2 linked regions of the Arabidopsis thaliana genome follow. The protein of the gene in region 1 interacts with the protein of each later gene in a pairwise test. Each region holds a gene or a part of one and is shown in the gene's direction. Other genes may lie near its edges.

Region 1 (3,553 bases):
CAATTTTTGGGGCTACATCATTACAATGCAATAATGTCAAAGAATCATAATAAAATTATTTCTGTCGAAATAATTAGATGCAAGGATCTCTTGGATAAAAACGTGCATGCGGAAATCCTTAAGAAAGTTTAGACTTGGCAGCTTTACAATCTCGAATCAACTTAAATTTATCGAACCTGATATGCGTATGCATATATAAACACACATGCTAGACAAAAAAAAGTATTTGAATTTTATAGTTGACAAAAAATATATTCGAATTATATGTATAGATAATGAGTTTGTAGTGACAAGCATGATGATGCATTGAGATCACGATAAGGGATAATTGAACAGTAAATTTGCGATGAAAACATTAAAATAACTAAAAACAGTTGACACACCATTTTCTCCGCGAAGAAGAAAATTCATAAAATCTAATAAAAAGTCACGATCATGTATTAAAATAAAAGATTATTATGTCGGCTCTACACCAAAATAATTTATCTCGTTATATCGATGTTTTCTTGATTCTTGAATTCTAAAGGGGACTTTTATTTATTTATAAATTGAGAACTTTAATGAAATTTGCTTTTAGGAAACACGAGAGATGATTAGTTGCAAATAAGATCCTCATCTTCTACATAATTACATTAGCTCTAACCTTATTTTTCCTTTGTTTCAAAAATCATAATAACCTCTTAAAATAAATAATACAATTTTAGCTAAGTATTATAGCAGAATAATAATCTCTATGACACATGATAAACACTTTAAGTACTATACACGATTAACAACCATAAAACGCTGAATATATGGTTTGATAATTTAGTGATGTGTATTTTTACCTTTTTATCTTTTTAACAAAATAATAACACATATATGATTAATGAATAATGTATTGAATTTGTTTCTGCTATATTTTACTATTAATAACATCATAACGTTTTCATGTTTGTTTGACAAAAAAGTTTTCATGCTTTCAAAATTTGATGATGTTATATGCTATAACTGTATTAGAAATATAATTAGATAAAAACGAAACATTATTAATATATAAAAACAAATCTTATATTGTTTAGCTCGACATTTAGATTATTGTTTTCTGAAGTTATTTTTGTAAACTTTTTATCTTCAAATTGAATAACTAATCATAAAATTAGTTATTAATTAATGTATGGCTGATAAAAAAAGAAAACAAGTCTTATACTAGCTTTTTATAATAACTTGTGGATACTCTATTATAAAGAGTTTTTACTTCTTGATAATTGAGTTGTTACATACTCCTATTATTCATACGACATACAAGTCGTATTTATAGGGTTAGGATAAGTTACCAAAATGTGGAATCACTTGCAATAAATGTGAAAACTTGTGGACTGTTGTCACAACTATTTATTATATTTAGATCTCACACAAAATTTGTTCTGTCAAGTGAATGTATCCAACATGAAATTGGCAAAAGCCAGCTATAAACAAAACCCAAAAAAAAAAACCACCTCTCTCAATAGTAAACAAAAAATAGGATAATAGGGTCATCTAAACACAAGCAAATATGGACTTATGCTGTTGTCATGATAGATAAAAATATGTACGGGTCTTTTAAGAGCATCAAATCAATTTAGCCCGTGGGTCCTTTTTTCTTTTACTTACTTAAAGACTTAGTGCAATATTTGTCCCATATCTCCCTTTACCCCTACCACACCCCACCTCCACCCTCAAACAATTGTTGCATATAAATAAGGAAGTGATTGATAAATGTAGAGACAAATACCCATCAAACTCTGTCTCTCACTTTCCTTCATTATTTACTCATTGCCCAAAATAATTCATTTATCATATCCTCAAACTTTTTTTTTTCTATACCTCGAAATCCAAAAAAATAAATACATTGGTTTAGTGTGGCATTGATGTTTTTGGTATAAAGCTCTTCACCAATGATAGCTTCAGAGAGTACCAAGAGCTGGGAAGCTAGCGCAGTCAGACAAGAGAATGAAGAAGAGAAGAAGAAACCGGTTAAAGATTCCGGTAAGCATCCGGTTTATCGGGGTGTCCGAAAGAGGAACTGGGGAAAATGGGTGTCCGAGATACGTGAACCTAGGAAAAAATCCCGAATATGGCTAGGAACGTTTCCTTCCCCGGAGATGGCGGCGCGTGCACACGACGTAGCCGCTCTTAGCATCAAAGGAGCCTCCGCTATACTCAATTTCCCTGACCTAGCCGGCTCTTTCCCACGCCCTAGCTCGCTTAGCCCTCGAGACATCCAGGTCGCGGCTCTCAAAGCCGCACACATGGAGACCTCACAGTCTTTTTCTTCTTCTTCTTCTTTAACGTTTTCATCTTCACAGTCTTCTTCTTCGCTAGAGTCTCTCGTGTCTTCCTCCGCGACCGGCTCCGAGGAGCTAGGGGAGATTGTAGAGCTCCCAAGTTTGGGATCGAGCTATGATGGTTTGACTCAGCTAGGTAACGAGTTTATATTCTCTGACTCCGCAGACTTATGGCCTTATCCACCGCAATGGTCAGAAGGTGATTACCAAATGATTCCTGCCTCGTTATCACAAGATTGGGATCTTCAAGGACTGTATAATTATTAAGTCATAATCATAAAAATATACTAGTAATGCTGTGTTTAATAATTACTTTTTAATGACCCCTTTATTTTGTATAGGGCGGCTTTAGGTTTATTTGTCTTTGAATCTTCTTTTCTCAATTTGTGGGTGTGAGAGAGCTCGATATATGAATACTTGTACATACTTCTCATAACATGTGTTTTTTTTTTCTTAATAAATGTGGAAACTTTGGAAATGAATAAATTGGACTAGTAGCCAATGGAAGCCACGTACCTTTCTATTTTGAATGTAGGTTAATGTTAATTTAAACGTAATACTGTTGTTTTTAATAACATTGATATAAAAACTATGTAGGTTGTTGATTTAAAATTATTGAAGATTCCTTTTCAGTTTCTTGTTTTCCCCCTTAGAGTTAGAGGTTAAAACTTTCTTCTGATTAAGCATAAATTAATCTTGACCAATTGTTTGTTTTTGCCTTTTCCTGTTTCCACTACCAGTTATTGAATTTTAATATTAGTTGATATATATTAAAATATCCAAACACTTGAATTATTTTGCATTCGAGTCTTGTTGTATTCTAATCAAACAATGACTTTTACTCATTGCATTTCCTTTTGCGACCCAATAGTAGTACAAAAGAATCTCCTCTTCGGTCTCTGGAGCACTAAGTTCAATATTGTGTAATATTGTAATACAAGTGTAGTTAGTTTGATACTATGTGTAAATAAATTAATAACTGTAATGAATGGTTCAAAATGGATCCCACTTTGTTTTTTTTTTGGTCACGATCTTACGTATCTTTTCTTTTTCGTCGTTGAAAAAAGGCTAAAAACTTTAATGATTAACTGTAATTAGAATTCCTCACTATCCATTAATCTTATTAAATAAAAACAGAATCTATTGAAATGACTTCTATATAATCAAAGATTAACATATAATAATAATAAATTAACGTAAAAACTTTTTCCTATTACCGTCATAACTTTTGTTTTTTTTTTACCGTA
Region 2 (6,055 bases), on another chromosome or scaffold:
AGCTGACCTAGCTAAGAAAGACCTAACCCTATAATAACTCAAGCAGCTAGGCAAATCTGCAGCCCAAAGAGGCTTCCCAGACACATAGGTTCCAGCAGGACCGTACTTATTGGTATCACACCTAAAGGAAAAGTACAAAGAAGCCAGATAAAACATGTCGAGATCAGTAAGAGCTCCTGATTTCACCAAACGATGATCTTCATCTGAACCAACGAACGACAAGTGAAGCTTGCGAAGCACACGTCTTTTGATCTCATCTTGCTGAGAGTAATCCTCACCTGAAGCACCCTTTTTGACACGGCAATGACCATCTCCCCAGATCAAGACACAACCATCAGAGCTATTAACGTTGGACGCTAGCCAGAAAAGAGCATAATCCCAATCAGATCCTTCAACAACGTGACGTAACCCTTGTTGGAGATTGGAATCACTTGGTGGTGAGACAAGCTTGGACAAGGCAGTGTTGGAAGCTGAAGCTGTTGAGATGAAAAAGTCGCAAGCTTCAGAGCCTATGGTGGATTCAACCATCGCTCGATCTTCTTGATTCTCCCAAAACTTTTGACCCATTTCTCCTGAAACGTTCATTGACATGGAATATACAAAAATTAGGGTATGGAATCAAATAAAATTAAAGGTATTTGGATTGAGATCGCTGCTTACAAATGAGATAGAAGATGATGGGTTTCGTGAGGAAGAGGAACGAGAATCACGTGATTCTTGCTGAGACACCGAATTTAGGGTTTGTTGGTGAAAAAGCAAAATCCTTTATAAAGGATATAACTCTAATTTATATTGCTGAGAAAGGAATGATCAAAGAGAAGACAAAACCTGAGCTTGGTTCACTTCAGATCTGTAGTGACTTGTTCTGAAATTGACGAAGAAAGAAGAAAAGAGGAAGAGACTATGCGAGAGAGAGAATATGGGTTTAATCGTAATTTAATACCAAGGACATCATTTCCTTCAGTTTTTTAACTGCAAACTATACTTTTGCCTTTTCTTACATACCAAACCACAAGTCATTGTGGTGTAATATCTATTCAACTACAAGTAAACCCATATCACTGGATTTTTGTCGAGATTATGTGTACATGTTGGGAAATTATTTCGTAGTACAACCTATTATGATGGGAGAATCGAAACTCGTCTTCTGAATTAACTTATCGCAAATCACCGTTAATAAGCGGAAAAGGAATTTACACATCTTACAATTATGCGCAAATACAATTGTTAATTGGATGAGTCATGCCATATTCTTGAGATGGTATGATAGGTATCATTACACCATGTAGTCAATCACGATTTTTTTGGATAATGTGGTTTAGAAGAACTAATCGCGTCTAATATAGACAAACTTATTCGTTCAGCAAAACAACAATTCGATATTTTTATTCGATTGACATGAGTCTTATAAAATTTATCACTAGATGTCTAATAAAAAAGGTTCAAACATTTCTAATAATTCGATTTTCGACCAAAATAAGAAACTTTAAATTAGCATCAAACTATCTTATATGGTTGTTTCCTTGCTTAACCTTCTTCCAAATCAATTTTTCAAATTAGCATCAATAAGATTTTAAAATACATCATAATGTTGTTCCGATAGTGTGTGACAACACTAACCATTTATTCCTATACAAGTTTATTTACTTGCTAATTCATTTACTGAAAATGTCCATGAACAAAATACCTAAAAACGAATAACCATAACCCAACCAAATATTAAAGACATCTCCATCAAGAAGAAACCCAAACAGTTTTTCAAACAAAAAGAATATTAGTATTTTATTATAATTTTATATATGATTAAATTTTTATTTTAGCGAACCAATTGAAAAGAGAAAAATATTATGATGGTTTGTATAAAGTATTTCATAGTTTAACGAGAAACATTCTACACTCTCTTTCTTTTCCTTTTATTATTTTTATTATTTTAATAATAAAAAATTACCAATAAAAATGGTCTATCTTAGCTTTTTTTTCTTCATTTTTTTTTCCCTCAACCACCATTCAACAATTAACATAAAAAATAATAGTTTTTTAAGTTGAAGTTATAAGAGTCAATTTAGTTTAAGTCATATGCTTTAGTAATAAGCATGACCGTCTAATCCCAAAAAATCTAAAAAGTACAGTGCCTTAGAAATTTCCTTTACCTCGACTTCCCTAATTTTAATCTTCTCGGTCGGAACTTCTGAATAATATTAGTAGAGATCCAAAACCTCACAAATTTCGACCGAGTTTTGTTGAATTCCGATTAGATCTTTCTTCCACGAAACCCCCCCAAGTACCCATTCCATCTTCTCCGGTGAGTCTCCCATGTTGGCATTACGCTAGGGTTCTTCTTCTCTGTGGTTTCGCATAACCCAATAATCCAATTTTCTACTTGGGCATCAATGGGTCGCTCTCGAGGGAACTTCCAAAATTTCGAAGACCCTACTCAGAGGTTTGTTCCTAATTCACTACTCTAATTTCCGATTTGGGGTTTTTGTGGATTTCTCTTTTGTAATTGCCAATTTGTGCTGAAATTGATTTGAATTTCAAGTTTCTTTGAGTCTGTGTTGTGCAATTGTCATTGATCTCTAGTTGGGACAATGAGCATGGCTTCAAATTTGTGGCTTTTGATAACTTTCAGTAGCTATAGTCTCCTCTATCTTCATCTATGTAATTGTGCCAATTTCTGCTGAAATTGATTGATTTTGAAGTTTCTTTGCATCTGCTTTGTGCAACAATCATTGATTTTTCAGTTGGGACAATGAGCATCGCTTAAAGTTTGTTGCTTTTGAAAACTTTCAGTAGCTATGTAGTCTCTTCTCTGTTTTCATCTGTGTAATTGTTTTTTCACTGTTGAAGCTGACATGAAAGAATCGTGTTATGCGTTTGTTGCAGAACGAGGAAAAAGAAAAATGCGGCTAATGTGGAGAACTTTGAGTCTACTTCTTTGGGTAAAAAAATACTTATCAAGGTTTTTTTTTTTTGTTTCTCCTGTCAAGATTCTTCTTTTACTCAACATTTTTTATTTGTGGAGACAGTACCAGGTGCTGAGGGAGGAGGGAAGTATAACTGCGATTATTGCCAGAAAGACATTACTGGAAAAATTAGGATAAAGTGTGCTGTCTGTCCAGATTTTGATCTCTGTATAGAATGTATGTCTGTTGGAGCAGAGATCACTCCTCACAAATGTGATCACCCATACCGAGTTATGGTTAGTTTTCATTTACTTTTCTTACCTTTTAGTTTGGAAAGAGTTTGATTCATTATACTTAGCGAAAATATCTTTTGGTTGAATTCTACCAAAGCTTAATATATGTTTCATTTGCTTTGTTAGGGAAATCTAACTTTCCCGCTTATTTGTCCTGACTGGAGTGCGGATGATGAAATGCTTCTCCTGGAGGTACCACTACTTCTTTTATCGTACTGATATGAAGTCTATAATGTCTGATTCTTTCAGTGAAAAGTAATTTCTTTTAATGTCTTTATTCAGGGACTTGAAATTTATGGCTTGGGAAACTGGGCAGAGGTTGCGGAGCACGTGGGAACGAAGAGTAAAGAACAGTGTCTTGAGCACTACAGAAACATCTATTTGAACTCACCATTTTTCCCACTTCCGGTATGCTACATCGATCTGATAAGATACCTATCTACCTCAGTAGTGCCAGCCTTTTGCAAGGTATTAACTAATTCAGGAGAAACGTTTATTTTCCCAGGATATGTCACATGTAGCAGGGAAGAACAGAAAAGAACTTCAAGCCATGGCTAAAGGACGCATTGATGACAAGAAAGGTATGCGCTTCTTTGCTTGATGGTTTTGATTCTGCGTTGTACGTGTTGCTATTTTAATTCTGATTTTGAAGTGGTTTCTTCTTTGGCAGCAGAGCAGAACATGAAAGAAGAGTACCCGTTCTCTCCTCCTAAAGTCAAGTATGTTTCTCGTTCTTCTCATGTACTGTACAGTGATAACCCTATAATTTTCTCATCTTTTGTTCAATTTTCTTGCAGAGTTGAAGACACACAAAAAGGTGAGTTCTTGCTTTGTATGCTATATCTGGTTCGTATATAGGTGTGCTTATCGTTTTGTTATTTACTTGCTCTAGCTTACACCAGTAGTTATAATCTAGTTAACCATCGCGTAAATGGAATCATCTACTTGTAAAGTAAGAAGCTGACTGAGCATAATTTTAAAATCCAAAAAGGCCCAATATTTGTCATTGTATTTATACTGGTAGATATTTTCTCCCTTTTTCTATGTTTTGACATTCTTTGTGGTTAGAGTCTTTTGTAGACAGAAGTTTTGGAGGGAAGAAACCTGTTTCCACCTCGGTAAACAACTCTTTGGTTGAGCTGAGTAATTACAACCAGAAAAGAGAAGAGTTTGACCCTGAATATGACAATGATGCTGAGCAACTCTTGGCGGAGATGGAGTTCAAAGAGAACGATACTCCTGAAGAACATGAACTGAAGCTGCGTGTGTTGCGTATCTATTCAAAAAGGTACAACATTTAAGATCAAAAGGGGAACAAAGTCTCTTCTTTTTGCTGTCCATTCTGACGCAGGTGAGTATGATGTTTGTAGGCTTGATGAGAGGAAACGTAGAAAAGAATTCATAATAGAAAGAAACCTGTTGTACCCAAATCCCTTTGAGAAGGACCTGTCTCAGGAGGAGAAAGTACAATGCCGACGTTTGGACGTTTTTATGCGTTTTCATTCAAAAGAGGAGCACGACGAGCTACTCCGTAATGTTGTAAGCGAGTACCGCATGGTGAAACGGCTCAAAGATCTCAAGGTAAGGACATTGCTACCCTCAAACTGTGCGTTTGGTTTCTTGGATTGGATGTGGCTCACTGTGTTGGATTGGTGGAGCAGGAAGCTCAAGTGGCAGGGTGTCGTTCAACGGCTGAAGCAGAGAGGTATCTGGGAAGGAAGAGGAAGAGAGAAAACGAAGAAGGGATGAACAGAGGGAAAGAGAGCGGTCAATTTGGTCAAATTGCAGGGGAGATGGGCTCTAGACCACCTGTGCAAGCTTCTTCAAGCTATGTGAATGATTTGGACTTGATTGGGTTCACGGAGTCGCAACTGCTGTCTGAATCCGTAAGTGTCTGAGAACTGAGATACTGAACAGTGTGAGATGAGTTTTCTGTCGTTGTAACTGAAAGAAGAAAGCTCTTTGTTTTGCAGGAGAAGCGTCTCTGCAGCGAGGTCAAGTTGGTTCCACCGGTTTATCTACAGATGCAACAAGTGATGTCACATGAGATATTCAAAGGGAATGTAACGAAGAAGTCGGATGCATATAGCCTTTTCAAGATTGATCCAACCAAAGTGGATCGAGTTTATGATATGCTTGTGAAGAAGGGTATTGCTCAACTTTAAGGCTTGTGTAGTGTTGTATCATATATATATATGTGTGAGCTCTAATGAGTTATTTGTTGACATTCCCTTGTTTATTACACCTTGTCAAAATTAGTTTGTAATAGAAAAACGATTAAGTTATCCACAGATTGTGAAAAGAGATAAGGTGAATCAGAGCCACACAATCTAAACCAAATGTTTTAGTATATAAGAAAGAATCTGACTCCTACAAGGAAAGGAAGAAGTGAGATGACGATGATGTCTCTCCCCAAAATGAGACTATCTTGTCTGCAACCACACCTCCATTTTACCAGTAGCAGATCAATAGCAGCAGCTCTAGCTTTTCCAAGCTCAAGCATAAGGAACAGAACATCATGTCTTGTTCGGTGTGGCTCAGCCAGAAGAAGATTGACTACGAAAAGTAGCAGAAACAGCAAGCTTGAAAGAGCACAACCTCCTCCTCTGGGTTTGGAACGGCACTGGAGATATGCTGTGGTTGGTGGAGTCTCTGTAGGGTTGATGATGGTTTTGGTATTGGGAATGGATGCAGAGAAAGCTATGGCGCTTGGACCAGAAGGTCCTTTAATGGAAGAGTTTTGGGACAACGTTAGAAGGTACGGTCTTTACGCTCTCACGGTTAGCACTGGAGCTCTCTCTGCTGTCTTTGAGCCCATCTTTGAGCTCCTCAAGAACCCAATCTCCGCCATTCTCATTC

Evidence for each region.
Region 2: the proteins of tny (region 1) and ADA2B interact in a two-hybrid assay, tested with the Arabidopsis thaliana proteins (one study listed by BioGRID).

The regions. Positions count from the first base shown.
Region 1 is NC_003076.8:8,985,996-8,989,548, reverse strand, and holds tny (Integrase-type DNA-binding superfamily protein), read left to right. Parts: upstream 1-1,650; 5' UTR 1,651-1,916; coding exon 1,917-2,573; 3' UTR 2,574-3,007; downstream 3,008-3,553. UniProt on the Arabidopsis thaliana protein: Putative transcriptional activator.
Region 2 is NC_003075.7:9,262,111-9,268,165, reverse strand, and holds ADA2B (ADA2 2B), read left to right. Parts: upstream 1-2,008; 5' UTR 2,009-2,390; coding exon 2,391-2,440; intron 2,441-2,883; coding exon 2,884-2,939; intron 2,940-3,026; coding exon 3,027-3,199; intron 3,200-3,322; coding exon 3,323-3,388; intron 3,389-3,478; coding exon 3,479-3,604; intron 3,605-3,701; coding exon 3,702-3,777; intron 3,778-3,866; coding exon 3,867-3,915; intron 3,916-3,993; coding exon 3,994-4,013; intron 4,014-4,264; coding exon 4,265-4,484; intron 4,485-4,566; coding exon 4,567-4,777; intron 4,778-4,857; coding exon 4,858-5,082; intron 5,083-5,169; coding exon 5,170-5,361; 3' UTR 5,362-5,545; downstream 5,546-6,055. Other genes in the region: AT4G16430 (basic helix-loop-helix (bHLH) DNA-binding superfamily protein), read right to left, coding at 1-567; AT4G16410 (uncharacterized protein), read left to right, coding at 5,590-6,055. UniProt on the Arabidopsis thaliana protein: Required for the function of some acidic activation domains, which activate transcription from a distant site. The exact mechanism of action is not yet known.